Pelodiscus sinensis: one gene and its partner. The protein of the gene in region 1 binds, or shares a complex with, the protein of each later gene. Links are inferred from orthologs where the notes say so. Each region holds a gene or a part of one and is shown on either strand. Other genes may lie near its edges.

Region 1 (8,250 bases):
AGCCAGGGGCGTGTGCTCTGGTTTCAGCCTCATTCACACAGCTACTGGCTGGAACACGAGCTCTGGCTTCCTGCTGGAGGGAGGGAGCGGTAGAGGCATGCACATGTCCCTGGGGCTGCCCCTGCTCAGCCTGTGCATGCAGCTTCCAGGAGCTAAGGGGTTAACCCTCACCTCTTCCTGGCTACAGCCTTCTTGCTTTGAGAGGGGGTAGGGCTGGGTGGCCAGTCACACATGGGGCACCAGGACCCAGTATGCTCCCCACCGGCTGTGTGCAGAGATGAGGAGCCCCTTCTCCAGAGCACTTCTACACCCAGCCAGGCTAGAGCCAGCCCTAGGCAGCACCAGGCTCTGCCTGCCCCAGCCTCAGACCTGCAGCCTGCAGGCAAAGAGCTGGTCCGGGCAGGGAAGAAATTCTACTCCCTCTGCCTCTCCTCACTCCAGCACGGCTATTCTGTCCCGCACCACCTCTCTTCACTCCAGCACTGCTACCCTACTTGAGTGCACTAAGGGCACAAGGATGTGGATGAAGAAGGGGGGTGAAGGAAGATCCAGGGGCAGGATGGGAGGGTGCAGAGATTGCACTGAGGGGCATGGGGCAAAGTAGGGGATCAGGCTGCAGGGAAAGAATGGGGGGCCAGAGGTTGCACAGGATACTGGACTTGATGGACCATTGGTCTGACCCAGTATAGCTGTTCTTACATTCTTAAGATATTACTGCAACTATTTTATGATGATTCAACAAAAATTAATTAGGGGTATGAAACATCTTCCATATGATGAAACTTTAATAAGACAGGGACTTTTCACTTGGAAAAGGGATGACTTAGGGTGATGTCTATAAAATAATAACTAGTACTGAGAAAATAGATAAGGAAGTGCTATTTACCCCATTTCATTACACAAGAACTATGGGTTACCAAATTAAATAGGCAGTAGGTTTTAAAACAAATAAAAGGAAATATTTCTTCACACAATTACGAATTTTTTGACAAAGGATGTTGTGAAGACCAAGACTATAACGGGTTCAAAAAAAGAACTAGATAAATTAATGGAGGATAAAGTCCATCAATGATTATTACCAAGACAAGCAAGTTTGGTGTCTCTAGAGCAGGAATGGGAAATAATTTTGATGGGGGGGGCCACTCCAAGAATTTGGAAAGTGGTCAAGGACTGCACTCTTCCATGACATTAATGGATGACGTGCAGAGTCTAGGATGGAGGTTGGGTGCAGAAGAGAGCTTGGAATAAGTGACTGGGGTGCAGGAGGAAGTGTGGGGTCTGGGAAGGAGTTTGGGTGAAAGAGGCGATGGTGACCTGGGGCTCTGGACTGGGGTTTGGATTTTAACCTAGGTCAGAAATGGGTTGTTACCTGGGATGCAAGGGTTTGGGATATTACCTAGGACAGGGGTTTTGGTTGTGACCTAGAATAGGAAGGGACTGTAATCTGAAGAAGGGGATTGGGGGAACATAGGAGGGTGGGCAAAGGGTTTGGGTATGTGGAATAGAGGGCAGGAGCGGGGGGCAAAGTGTTGGGGGAGAGGCTGGGGTGCCTGAGGCAGGCTCTGGTCAGGACACTTACTTAGGTGATTCCTGGCCAGCACTCCAGTGGATTTCTCAGGCAACCTGCCTGCCTGTCCTCCCCAGGCTGCAGGGCCGTGTGTGTGTAAATAACTACAAGCCAGAGGGGAGGGGGCATGGTGCTTCATGGCTGCCTTTTATTCAAACAGGCAACTCCCATTGGCTGGTTTCTGGGATTGTTCTGGGGATTTGGGAAACACCTGAAGGCCCTCCCCACTCCTCCCAGCTCAGAGTTTTGGGAGAGAAACGGCCTGGCAGCCACTTTTCTAAGCAGCGTGCAGGTGGGGCGAGGCAAATAGGGAGTCTGTCTAGGGTTTCTCTGGGCCGGATTTTGCCCAGGCCTGCCCTACCATCTGTTAACCAGAACTGGGAATGAGTAACATAGAATAGATCACTTGATGATTACCTGTTCTGTTCATTCCTTCTGGGGCACGTGGCACTGCTGGAAGACAGGATACTGGGCTAGATGAACTTTTGGTTTTACCCAATATGACCGGTCTTATGTTGTGTAGTATTATTCTAATTTTGTATTCAAAAAGTATTTCACAGTTTCTCTTCAACAAATGCACTGCAATTTGGATTGTCATTCATTTAAAACAGAACTGTTAAAAAATTACAGAAAAGTCTTCTGGAAAACTACATTGTGACTGATGCTGGTCAGGAAGCCTTACCTCTGATTGTCCTAGTGCTTTCTTCCCCCACCAGATAGGGTTGGTGTCAACGATGACGACTAAGAGATTTAGTTCATCATCTAAAAAAAGCAATAATAATGCATATGTTTGAGAACAGACAACACAGCAGCTCCTTTGGAAATATGGGAAACTTAACATTTAAAGGTCTATAGGCAAAAATACCAGATGTTTTAACACTCATTTAGCTAAGAGTGCATAAGGGTTTGCAGGATCTTGTTTTTATATTGGCCTGTTTTAAAATTAAATACACTTTTATTTAATAACATTTTAGTCACACACACAACAGCAAAAAAAAGTTAGCACACAGTCAAAGATTCAGCATAATTGCAGTTTTTCCATGTGTTTATTGCCAAATATCCATGAACCACATGGAACAGGAGTAGAACGCATTATGTTACAGTAATGAAGACTGTATTATTGGAAGCCGGATAGGAGGCAGAGGCACTACAGAAATGCATGGACCGGGAGCCTGACATAGGGCTTCTTTTCAGCGTTTATCGGTTTCTCTCTCAACCCCTCTGTTCACAGATCGCACGCAGGTGCCGTTTCCAAACCCAACGCCTGTGGGGCGTAGGCAGCGTGGCTGCCCCACACAAGGGAAAGGCGGTGCTGGCTGCGGAACTCAGCGGGGCTCGCGGGCAGCAGCTGCATCCGCCGGACGCAGCCCCGGGCACGGCCGGGAGGACGGGGCCGAGGGACCCCGCGGCGGAGAGAGGAGGCAGCAGAGAGGCCTCGCACCGGGCCCTGAGGAGAGCGCGCGGGAGACGCCAGCCCCGCTTCCGGCGCGGCGCCTGGCCAGGACTCACCTGCGCTCATAGTGCCCAGCCTCAGGCAGGCGAAGAGCGGGCACCGGCCGGACTTTCGCTTCCGGCGCCTCGAGACGATGTCACTGCTCATTGGTCGCACGACGCGTGATGCTGCAAGAGCCGGCCGGAAGTGGTGCCCCCGCGAGCAAGCGCCGGGCGGGGACAGCGGCTCCGCGTGAGCGGCGGGAACAGACTCGGCTCTTGCGGCTGCCGGGGGCCCGGGCCGCCTGCCGCTGACACCATGAACGACGCAGGTAAGGAGGCCCGGGGCCCGATCCGGGGTGGGGATTAACCGCCCCCTCGCCAGAGCCGCGGCGGACACGTGCCATCCCCCTCCCGGCCTGAGGCTGCGCCTGCCCCGCTCCCTGGACCGGAGGGACCAGACCTGCCCAGCCCCAGGTGGGGCTTCCCCGTGGCGGGCGGGTCCCTGCGGCTGATGGGCCCCGTTTCCCTTCCAGAGCTGATCGAGGCCTTCAAAGCCCAGATGCGGGAGGATCCTGACGTGGCCTCTGCCGTGGCGGCTATCCGCGCGCTGCTGGAGTTCCTAAAGCAAGACAAAGGTACCGGCCCAGCTGCTCTGCTGGGCGAGCGCGGGACTCCAACCCGGGGCCCTGCCCAGCAGCGACCGGGAGATGGTCACGTAAGATGCGCACTGAAGTGCTGAATCCGTCCAGTAGAGGCCAGTGCAATACACATCACTGACCACCTTGCACACAGCTGTCATAGGCTTGGACGGATTTTGTTTATAAACCTGTTTCACCCTACACATTAGGAATGCAATAGTGTATCCGATTAACTGATAAACAAAAGCTTATAGGTTAATGCTATAGACATGCATTTCCCTCCCCTCAGCCTTGCCAGTCAATTTTTTAGCAGCCCTGTCAGTAGTCCAGCTCAGTCCTGGCTTGCGGCAGGTCCGGGACCTACCCGTGCTGTAACTCAGCATTTAAAGCGTATTAGGAGCTGGGTGAGCAGGCAGCCTGGATCATTTTCATCTCGCACTGAGTCCGGGAGCTCAGACCCTCTTGACAGAGGCAGCTGCTGCCCCACACTGCTACCTGTTTATCAAAGGCAGCAGCACAGGGTAACAGCCAGCCAGTCCGCAAGGGAAGCTGGTTTTTAAACTGGCTTCCCTCATGGATGAGTTACTGCCTGGTACCCCACGCTGCTTCCTTTGATACAGAGGCAGCAATATGATGCCAGAGCACATTGGCTGCTGGCCCCACCCCCAAAGACTATATACTTGTTGACTAACCAGTAAGTCATGAGGTTACTCGACTAGTCAGTTAATCGATAGTTAACATCCCTGGTCCGCATATCAACCAACCAAAAAAGGTTTCCATTGATAATTATTAACCTTTAAAAAGAAAAATGCTGCCTGAGAACTTATTCAAGGACAAACTTAAAAAACAACAAATAGTATAGTAGCACCTTAAAGACTAACAAAACATGTAGATGGTATCATGAGCTTTTGTGGGCACAACCCACTTCTTCAGCTGAATGGAATATTAGAAGTCTGGATCCAAGCATAAATAAGGGCAGGGGAAGAAGGGGGGAAAAAAAGAGAGAGAGAGACAGTGAGTAAATATTTCAAGTGTTTACAAGAGGCTGATAAGAACAATTAGCACCTCCATTGTTTAAGTCATTAGGATGTGGAAGTTAGTATGCCAGCCAATGGATGTCCCATTTCATACTATTTGCATAAGAATTACACTTGTAAATGAAGTTAAATTCCAATTCTTCCCTGTGTATTTGGCTTGTGGAATTGGCCTGAAATAACACCGTGACTTAGAGATCCATTAATGAATGTCCAAGCAGATGAAAGTGTTCTCTAACAATTTTTTGTGTATTGCCTTTTTGAATATGTGATGTGTCCATTTTCCTGTAATGTGGAAACTGGCCAATATACACTGCAGTGGAGCATTGTTAGCATTTGATGGCAAAGATCACATTAGTGGATGTGCAGTTAAATGAGCCTCTTGGTGGCTGATGTGGTTGGGTCCAATTGATGAAATTGATAGTATAGATGTGTGGGCAGATTTGGCACCAGGGCTGATTGCAGGGGTGAGGTCCAGGATGATTATGATGGAGGTAAGTTGCATGCTTACTGGAAATAATTTGTTTAAGGTTAGGGGGTTGTCTGTAGGCAAGGATTGGCCTTTCCCCCAAAGCCTCTGAGAGTGAGGGGTCATTTTCCAGGATGGGTTGTAGATTGTTGATAATGCTTTGGAGAGGTTTAAGTTGTGGACTGTAGGTGATGACAAGAGGAATTCTCTTGTTTTCTCTTTTGGGCCTGTCTTGAGGTAGTTCGTGTCTGGGTATTCTTTTGGCTCTGTCAGTCTGTTTTTTTCAGAGCTACGGGTGGGTATTTCAGTTTTAAGAATGCTCTGTGTAGATCCTGTAGGCGTTTGTCTCTGTTTGTGGGACTGGAGCAAATCCACTTGTAACTTAGGGCTTGGCTGTCAACAATAAATTGAGAAATGTGTCTGGGATGGAAGCTAAAGGCATGAAGGTAAGTGTAGCGGTCAGTAGGTTTCCGGTATAGGGTGGTGGAAATTTGTCCATCATTTAATTGTACTGTAGTGTGAAGGAAGTAGATCCCTCATGTGGACTAATCCAGGCTAAGGTTGGTAGTGGGCTGGAAGTTGTTGAAATTCCTGTGAAATTCTTCAAAGATCTCTTTCCCATATGATGAAGATGTCATCAATATAGCGTAAGTGTACTAGGGGTGAGAGCTGAGGAAACGTTGGTTTAAGGTCAGTCATAAAGACCTTGGCATATTGCGGTGCCATGCAGGTGCCCATGGCTGTACCACTGACTTGAAGATACAGATTGTCTCCAAATGTGAAGTAGTTGTGGGTGAGGACAAACCTCTGTAACCAGGTGTGAAGTGCTGTCATCAGGGATTGTGCTCCTGACAGCCGGTAATCCATCTTCCTGTGGAATGTTGGTATAAAAAGCTTCTGCATCCATGGTGGCCAGGATGGTGTTTTCAAGAAGATTACTGTTTTATAGTTTCCTCTAAGTCAGTAGTGTCTCAAAGATAGGTCAGAGTGCTGGTAGCATAGGGTCTGAGGAGAGAGTCAATATAGCCGAACAATCCTGTTGTAAGTGTGCCAATGGTTGAGATGATGGTTCGTCTGGGATTTCCAGGTTTGTGTATCTTAGGTAGCAGATAGAAATCTCCTGGTCCCACACTACTTTCCACATCCTAATGACTTAACCAACCAACAAACAGTGGAGGTGCTAATTGTTCTTATCAGCCTCTTGTAACCACTTGAAACATCTACTCACAGTAGCTACTCTACACTGCAGGCTTCTTGTACAAGAAGCCTTTTGCGCAAGAGTTTTTGTGCAAAAACTACTTGTGCAAGAGCATGTCCACACCTCAAAGCACATCGCAAAAGTGATGTGCTTTTGCGCAAGAGAGCATCCACACCGTATGGACACTCTTGCACAAGAAAGCTCTGATGGCCATTCTGTGAGTGGCCATCAGGGCAGCTGTGCTTTTTCCCATAGGGGTTTCTTATGCAAGAGAGGTTTTCTCATAGGGCATCTACACTTGCCTTTTTGCGCAATAGCTGTAGCGCAGCAAGGAGTTATGCCTCATAAAAGGAGGTTTACCTACACCAGAGAAGGCCCTCTCTCCTGCTGTTTTATTGTTGATTTACTTGCGCAAAAGCGCATTTGGGGTGTGGACGCCCCATGGGTTTTTGCACAAACAGCTGTTTTGTGCAAAAACCTTGCAGTGTAGACATAGCCTGTCTCTCTTTTTTTTTTTCTTCGCCCCTCCTTTTCTCCTCTCCCCCCTCCTTATTTATTCTTGGAGCTGGACTTCTAATACTCCAGTCATCTGAAGAACTGGGTGGCGCCCACAAAAGCTCATAATACCATCTGCATGTTTTCTTAATCTTTGAAGTGCTTCTAGACTATTTATTGCTTTTAAAGTTTTTCCTGCTACAGACCAACTCAGCTACCACTCTGAAGTTATTTGAAAACATCATTCAATCATTGTCTGACACCCCTGTAATTTCCTGCAACTGAAAACTAAGTTGATAAAAACTGAAAAAGATGCTAAAACTACAAAATATTTGCAGAACTGTGAGCTGCAAATTAAAATAAACCCTAATTAAAATTTTTTTTAATTAGATTCTGCCAAACCTAAATTTGAGACACATCTAATCAAATTCATGGTGTTTCAGATAACTGAAATTCAGAGCTTTGTGGTACTTCAGGTGATTATTTGTTGCTTTTTCAAGAAACAAACAACTGCAGTTCATCTCTGCTTCCAAGATCTTGCCTTTTCTTTTTTACACCAACAAAAATACCCCTGCTCCTGCATTGCAGTAAAAGGCAATCCCTGTGTTTTGAACTACACTGTTTTTTAAAATTCAGAAGAGAGTTAAAGATGAAGGTCTTGGAGCAAAAAAGCAGGCTACACCTTCATCAAAAGTTTGAAGTAAGAAACTTGCCTGGTAGATAATGTGCAGAAATGAGCACATGCTATGAGAAGTGTGCATTAATAATCAAAATCTGGAAAACAGTATTAATACAAGAAAGGTTTTCAAATGTATGCGGTGTTTGTTTCATTAAGTATAATCTGCTTCATTGGATGTGTGTTCGTCTACTCAGAGTGGCTAATCATGGCTGCTGAATTACCTGAATAATGTCAATAACTTGTCCTTCAAGTTACAATCAAAGCACATCAATGAACGGATGGGAGAAGTCAACACTACTTGTTAACTGTGTAGTAGTATTTAATCAATTTTAGTTCCTGGCAGTGATATATGTTTCAGGTGTACTTATATTTTTTTTAAGATTACTGTTATTCTAGAGAAAGTTGGATGGAGGGCAGAATGCAGGTAGAGCTTACTAGACTATAGATTTTATCCAAACTTATGGAATCGGTTGTAGAATTGTTCCATGGTATAATAAACTTCCACTATAATCCTAATACATCGAAGGAAAAATACCAAGTGAGTCCCCCATTAGTGCTATACCAGAATATATCTAAACTTCTGTCTAGCATGTAATGAGTATCTTGTTTTAAAATGAAGTTTGCATTTCTCTCTCTCTCTCTCTCTCAGGTGAGACCATTCAGGGTTTGAGAGTAAATCTCAAAAATGCAATTGAAACTCTGTCTGGTGTTGACTCTTCAGTGGCAGTCTCTTCAG
Region 2 (7,562 bases), on another chromosome or scaffold:
TTGGTGTTCCTCGGTCTTAAAAAGTTTAAGAAACACTGATACAGTCAGTGACAAGTAAATGCTTATAATACTGACTTCTCACATACATCACTCTTGAGAAAAGGCAAATTACTCCTTCTGATAGCTGATGTTCATTTTGAGAATGAGTCACAATAACCTAAATAACTACTTACCCACTACTAGTCCACATTCAGGACAGATCATGTCTCCAGCTCTGTAATCCTCCACTAAAATGGAATCTGGATGATTTGGACATGTCACTCTGGGAAGCACATCCAAACTAAGAAAGAAAAAGACTTTTATGTTTAACGTGCACCACAAATCAACTGAGTAATTTACAAACAATATGCAAACTGTTTGGGTGGAGTAGTACATTAGGAGCACTACGTAGGATTTCCACACATAATTCAATAAGATAGGATTTCTTAAATCCAGTTTAAAATTCTTAAATAACTTGCCTCATAAAATCCACAAGGATTACTTTATTTAGTAAAGTGCTCCAAACATAACACACACACACACACACACTTATATATATATAGTAAATTATACCTGAAAATCCATTCTTACTAAATAAATGCCTACCAGAAATCAGTGATAACCATGTCTTTCTAAATAGTCACTCCTGCATTTGGCTAGCCATTTTTTAAAATCCAATTAAAATATTTCTTCGGTAAGCAGTGCATTCTTGACTGTTTTAGAAAACAACTATCTTCTAGCATCCCATGTTCACAAAGCTGACTGCGTATTTAAAAAAAGTGAACTGAATGTAGATGCACAAAGCAGATCTGAGGTCTGACTATCCTTTATCAGCAGCATGATGTACAGGGAAATGCTTCAATAAAATTAATGGCCATGATGTTTACTCAAAGCTTGGCATTTACTTTACTCCTGCTACAAGTTGTGATAACACTGGAAAATGTTTACTAACTCTAGAGCAGATACAGCAGAGGAAATAGTTTGACCCATCACAGTACCTTTAGTCCTGGTTTGAAAGCACTCTCTCCACCCATAATGAAGAAAGAAGATAGTTCAGGCATAGAGACCAATCAATCACTAACCTCTGCTGATAAATGTCTAAAAGGGAAAATTGTGGCAAGAACCCAAAGACTAATCAGATGTAGTTGTCAGTACTGCTAATCTGGCCAAATCAGGAGCCTACTGATACAGGGCATTCCTGCTATAAATTGCCCCGGTATACATTGGTTCCATACTAGCTTTTTTTTTTTTACTGACTGACTGACAGACACACATACACTTCCCTGCTTTACACCCTTTTACTATACACCCATGATGTTTAAAGGTATCTTGGACATATAGCGAGGACACCCTGTTCCACATGATCATGACAAGAAGGAAAATTGGGAATAATGGAATATTGCCTAACAATGAATGTAATGGGTGTGAAATGAAAGAGTTTTTAACATAAGAACAGTCATTCAGGGTCAGACTACTGGTCCATCTAGCCCAGTAACCGGTCTTCAAAACAGTGGCCAGTGCAAGGTGCTTCAGAGAGAATGAACAGAAAGGGCCATTAGCAAGTGTTCCATCCAGTTACTCAGGCCTAGCTTCTGGACAGCCAGAGCATAGGGTTATATTCCTGACTTTTTGGTTAATAGCCATTGATGGATCTAGCCTCCATTATCTATTTTTTTAACAGTTATACTTTTGGCCTTCACATCATCTGTTGGCAATGAGTTACATTAAGCATTGTGTGAAGAAATACTCTTTTTTACTAGGAAACATTTAGAAGAATCAGGATGTGCAACCAGACATGGCAATTCTTCCATCCACATTAAAATATGAAATTTGTGGAAAGGCCCGATTTAACCTTAACGATAGTTTTACACAGCAACACAGTAAGAACAAACTATCCATTTTCTAGGAGACATTGGTTTTAGACCAGAATGCATATTTATTTAAAAGATCAATTATGTAAATTAACATTTAAAGTGCTAGGAAGCAGAGATTTGCAAAATGGGAGTGGGGTGTGCACACAGGTGCAGGTGGTAGAGCAGAAGGGCTCCAGGAGGGAGCACCACTTGCACCCCACCTCAACTCTGAATGTCATTCAGCATGCAAGTCTATATCAACATCTCTGTGCCCACTGTTGACTCAGGCCCCCTGCAATGCTCACATACATATGCCATCCCCTTCTGAAAACCTGAGCATGGAGGAATAGGTATGGGAGTGGGGCACACAGCCAAAAATTGTAACTCAAGGGGGGGGGGGGAAGAGTACTCAAGTTAAAAGAGTTTGAAAGCCACTGCTTTAAAGTCTCCCATCTACCTACAGCAGCAGTTCTCCCACCTTAGGTCAGGACCCCAAAGTGGATCACAACCCCTTTTTAACAGTGTTAGACCTACTGGGCTTTGAGACCAAAGCTTGAGGCCAACCGACTAAGGCATCAGATTACAGGTCTCCCGAAGTCTCTGGGTTTCAGTTCCCCATGCCCTCCCCTCCCCCGAACGTAGGACTCGGGCTTTGGCCCTCCTGCCTGGCGTACAGGATTCACTGGCCAGGTGCAGGCGGGAGGTGAGGGCTGTAGGGGTAACCATCACCGCCCTAGACATCTCCGACTTCCTAGGCCAACCTTTGCAGGCTATTCGCAGCAGCCCACCGGCCACCCCGTCACTTGTGAGCTCCGAGGCCGGGTCACAAAACCCTCGGAAACGGAAGCTCAGGCGGAGCCCGGCGCCCCGATGACCACGGGCCGGAACCTGGGCCTGGCGCACAAACGCTCGTCGCTGCTTCAAGCAGGAGGCGGCGGCGGAGGGAAGGGGCCGCACACGGAGAACCCGGCTACGGAGCCCTTGGGAGCGGAGAGGGGCGCCACAGCGAGGAGATCAAAGCCCCCCCCCCCGGGAGCGGAGAAAGGGCCCGGGGAGAGCGAAGGGTCCGGGGGGGGGGGGAGGGATCGGGACTGACAGGCAGGAACCAGGACCCGAAATAGCAGCTGGGGGGGAGGGGGGGGGTTCAGCGTTGCTGACCCGGGAGCTGAATCTGCGGAGCGACGCGGCCATTTTCTCGCCCCGGCCGACAGCCCGGAATCCCGGCCAGAGACCCCCAGGGGCCCTAGGCCGCCCGCTCCCCTCACCGGCTGGTAGACGCCATGTTCGTTCCTTCCTTCCTTCCTTCCTTCCTTCCTCGTCCCTGTCTCCGTCCAGGTCTGGGTCAGGCGCACGCAGCCTACCCCCTTATATCTCCTCCGACACGGAAGGCGGGGCTCTGCCAGGCGGTCGCTACAGGCTGCGCAAAGGGACAAACCAGAAGGGTTCGCGTTCAGCTGCCTTAACGTAAGTGCCGGGAGACGGCAACAGCAGCGTGGGGAGCTGCGCGCCGGCGGGCGGGGCGTTACAGCGGCTCTGTGCCCGGCCTCTGGAGTCTGGGCCAGGTTCCTTTTCCATTCCCAGGGCGCGCCGCTGCCCCGCGGGGACCCTGCCCAGTGGGGGCTCGTGCTCAGCGTTGTAGCCCCGGTGACCAGCGGCCACAGCCTGTAGAATTGTGGGCGGCGCCCAGAACAGGGCCCGGCCCCTCCCCCACCTGCCTACGGCTCTGGGCGGGGCAGGAGGCTCTGGGCTGGGCTCTGGGAGGGACTGTGGGTGCAGGCTCTGGGCTGGGGCGGAGGTGCAGGAGGAGGGGAGGAATAATACAGGCTCTGGGGGGGAGTTTGGGGCAGGAGGGGCAATGCAGGGGAGGAGGCGGGGGTGCAGGCTCTAGGTGGCAGGTTGAGGTGGGAATGCAGCACTTACTGGGATACGCCCCTCTGGCATGGCTCCTGGGAGAGGGTGTGACAAGGTATCTCACATGCCTCTGCTCTCAGGCTCTGCCCCACAGCTCCCAATGGGCATAGGGGCATTGAGGCTAGGGTTGCCATGCAAAGACCACTGGGATGTGTCCGCCGCTAGGCAAGCGGTAGGAAGCTGTTCTAGCCCTGCGGTGCTGCCGGGGGTGGCAGACAAGGCCTCCAGGCCATTTTAAATTGTACAGGTGAGGTTGGGGGGGAAGACCCAGCCCCAAACTGCTGCAGCAGAGCTCCCAAGCCAGGAATGTTCCTGGTGCCCACTCAGCGTGGGTCCATATCACTTGACACCTCTGGCACTGGCCCTCTTGCTACTTTTCCCTTGAATAGACCTTTGCAGTATCCTGGGCACAATCTTCTCACACAAAGGAAGCTAACCCTTGTACTCAATGCCATCTGCTGCTATATTGCAGGATGCTGTAAGCCCATGGTCACCAACAGATCAATCGTGAGGCCTCAACCAGTTGATTGTGAGGTGTCCGGGCCCTCCCCCCATTTTCCTCCCACCCCCGAGAAGCCCCACTACCTACCTCCTGCAAAAATGGAGGTAGTGCCAGCTTCCCACGGGTGGACGGAAGTCCTGCAGCTTTGCGCCACTTCCGGGGGTTCCGGAAACACGCTGGCTGCTCTGCCAGGCGCGCTGCGGGAGGGGGTTGGGTTGGCCCTGGAAGAGGAGCACCACGACTTCCCTGCACCAGCGCAGGAGGGGTGAGTCTGCCCTGGGGCAAGTGCGCACAGGGTTTCCCTGGTCTGGGGGGGGGAGGTGTTTCGGCCCTGGGGCAGGTGCATGCAGGGTTTCGGTCCTGGAGCAGGCGTGCGCAGGGTTTCCCCAGCTGCAGAAACCTGTTCCCACTGGCTCTCTGTCCCCTGCTGCAGAACCCTGTCTTCTGCCCTCCCAGCACCCTGTTCCCTTTCCCCTGCCCCCAGCCACAGAACTCTGTTCCCACTGGCACCTTGTCCCCTGCCAAAGCACTAGCATCCTTCCCCAGTACTATGTCCCCTGTTCCTACCAACACAGTTGGGGCCACATTAATGAAGCTTGGAGGGGGGGGGGGGTTGCATCTCACTTGTGTGGCCCCAACTGACTTTTCTTGGGTCAGTGACCCCTGACTCAAAACAGGTTCCCTGCCCTTCTCAGAAATAAAGACAATGCAGAAACTTTTTGTTTGACATAGTATTTTATTTAAAAATGAAGCCTGGCCAACAAACCCCAAATTGGGGCCAAGCCCCCATCTGGCCACAGCATCATAACACTCCAGCACTCCCCTTTCCCCCAGACCCTACATATGAGCCTATCATACACTGGAACCCCCTGCCCTGAGCCCCTCACATACCCCAACCCAAATTCCTGAACCCTTACATCCAGAAGTCTGTGGCTTGCTTAGTACCCTAACCCTACATCTGACCCCAACACTGCCCGGCCTGGCACCCCCTCCCTGAGCCAGCATCCCCTTATCTACCTTCTCCTACATATAAATTTCCTCCCAGAGCTTGCACCTCTCACCCCTTCCCACACCCAAATCCCTCATTCCCACCCCAGAGCGTATACATCCTGTCTCAACCAAGCAAGGTTACAGCTAGACTGCGGGAGTTTTTCAGGATTCCGGAGATATCCCAGAAAAACACTTCTGCATCCAGGGATGCATTTGTTCTTCTGCTTCTTTTAGTGGAAGAGCAAACATGATCTTTCGGTCACCCCTATATTCCACTTTCCATGAGCAATAAGGGGGCTTCCAAAAGAAGGGGGTTTTCTGACATTTGGTCCAGACTAGACAGGCCAAATGTTGGAAAAACCTCTTTCTACAGAAAAATTGGGGGAAAAAAGCAGCAGTATAAGGGTTGAGGATAGCAAGTGACGGAGAGGAGGAGAACAGAGAGGGCGAGGCTTCAAGGAAGGGGCGGGGCAGTAGTTCTTGGCTTGTTCTGTCATTTAAAAAGTGATCTTGGGTGTAAAAAGGTTGGAGACCACTGCCATAAGCCTACCCGCATCAATCCTCACAGACATTGCTGCTGCTCCTGATATATGCCTGGAAGTTGCCAGTAGAGTGCAGCATACAAGATAATGCAGAGATCTGAGACCTAGTATAAAACACCAACACTGGTCGGTTGACTAAAGCCACGACAAAGTTTTCTTTACGTGCATATTTTTATCACCCTAACAAACAAAGGTTCAGTTACGGTAGATAAGGGTTGAGAACAACCTGCAAACTGGCTCCCACCGGTCAAGCATCTACCACCTGGTGCATATTATGAGGGAAGATTTTGACAGCCCAGCAAACTGCCTTGACTGCTGCCAGTACTGGAATATTATTATGCTTATTGACAAACAGGAGCTGGAAGGCCTTTGTAGCAGCCTTCACATAACTAAATAGATTGGGGTGGGCAAAAGAGAGAAGGTGACCTTGAGAAATAAGCATGATCCTTTCTTATTAAGCTCTCTTGAAAAATCTGAAGTCTCCGCCTTTAAAAAAAACGTTGTCTAGCTATACCTTGAAATTGTGTAGAAATACAGCTGTGGGACCAATGGCTTAAAATTGCTTGCTTAATGGTTTTTTGTTGATTGACACACTGATGTAATTGTAGCAGTTACTAACATAAAAATGGTAGATAAGTCTGAGGAATTTGGATTTGACCTGAACATCTATTGGAATCCCCAGCCACAGACATATAGCTGGCCACTTACACAGTGTGCATTGACTGCACAACACCCCTGCAGACTATGGGTAACTAATAATTAGGGATGCTCTATGCCTTTTGCATATCTGTATGTGCTTGAAATCTAATAAAATAGTAAGCTTGGGTAAAAGTATTGTGGGTTTCTGACAAGCTTTAATCAGATGGATGTGCTTTGATTTTTTTCTTCCTGACATTGCCTTCCAAAGACTATAATTAGCCCAAGCTTTGAGTTGAGAGAAACTCAGGTAATGCACATCAACCCTGAACTACATTGTGTTATATTAATAGATTGCACTGTAGTTGATTAAGTGAAGGTACATCACTGGCCCCTCTACTGGGGGCAGAGAGCTTCAAAATATGAAGGATCAATACAAACATAAGATTGGCTATACACATTCAAACCAATGGTCCATCAAGTCCAGTATCCTGTTTTTGGACAGTGGCCATTGCCACATGCCCCACAGGGAATGAAAACAACAGGAATCATCAGGTGATCCACCCCATTGCCTATCTACAGCTTCTGGAAAATAGGTCAGGGACACCATCCTTGCCCATCCTAGCTAATAGCCATTGATGGGCATACTCCATCTAGTTGTTTTTCAAACTTTGTTATAGTCTTGGCCTTTACAACATCCTTTGCAAAGAGTTTGACAGAGTGACTGTGTGTTGAGTTAAAAAAAACACTGTTTGTTTTAAAATCTTTGCCTATTAAATTCATTTGTTTAACCCCTAGTTCCTGTGTAATGAGGTGCAAATAATACTTCCTTATTTACTTTCCCCACATCGATCATGATTATATAGATCTCTATCATATTCTCCCTTTAATGTCTCTTTTCCAAACTCAAAAGTCCCAGCCTTATTAATCTCTCCTTGTATGGCAGGCATTCTAGACCCTAATAATTTTTGTTGCTTTTTCTGAATCTTTTCCACTTACGATATACCTTTGAGATGGGATGGCCACACCTGCATGCAGTATTCAAGATGTGGGTGTACCCTGGATTTATATAGGAGGAAATATATTTTCCATCTTATTATCTATAGCTTTCTTAATAATTCTGTTTACTTTTTTGATTGCTGCTGCACA

The links. Proteins that work in one complex are often made in the same cells at the same time.
Region 2: GTF2H3 (region 1) and GTF2B share a complex: the UniProt entries of both Homo sapiens proteins name them as parts of the TFIID-containing RNA polymerase II pre-initiation complex. The link is inferred for Pelodiscus sinensis from reciprocal best matches to the Homo sapiens genes GTF2H3 and GTF2B.

The regions. Positions count from the first base shown.
Region 1 is NC_134725.1:31,220,685-31,228,934, forward strand, and holds the start of GTF2H3 (general transcription factor IIH subunit 3), read right to left. Parts: upstream 3,207-8,250; 5' UTR 3,168-3,206; coding exon 3,077-3,167; intron 2,330-3,076; coding exon 2,250-2,329; intron 1-2,249. Other genes in the region: EIF2B1 (translation initiation factor eIF2B subunit alpha), read left to right, coding at 3,318-3,330, 3,535-3,636, 8,164-8,250. UniProt on the Homo sapiens protein: Component of the general transcription and DNA repair factor IIH (TFIIH) core complex, which is involved in general and transcription-coupled nucleotide excision repair (NER) of damaged DNA and, when complexed to CAK, in RNA transcription by RNA polymerase II.
Region 2 is NC_134719.1:32,367,218-32,374,779, forward strand, and holds the start of GTF2B (transcription initiation factor IIB), read right to left. Parts: upstream 3,236-7,562; 5' UTR 3,115-3,235; coding exon 3,098-3,114; intron 281-3,097; coding exon 174-280; intron 1-173. UniProt on the Homo sapiens protein: General transcription factor that plays a role in transcription initiation by RNA polymerase II (Pol II). Involved in the pre-initiation complex (PIC) formation and Pol II recruitment at promoter DNA.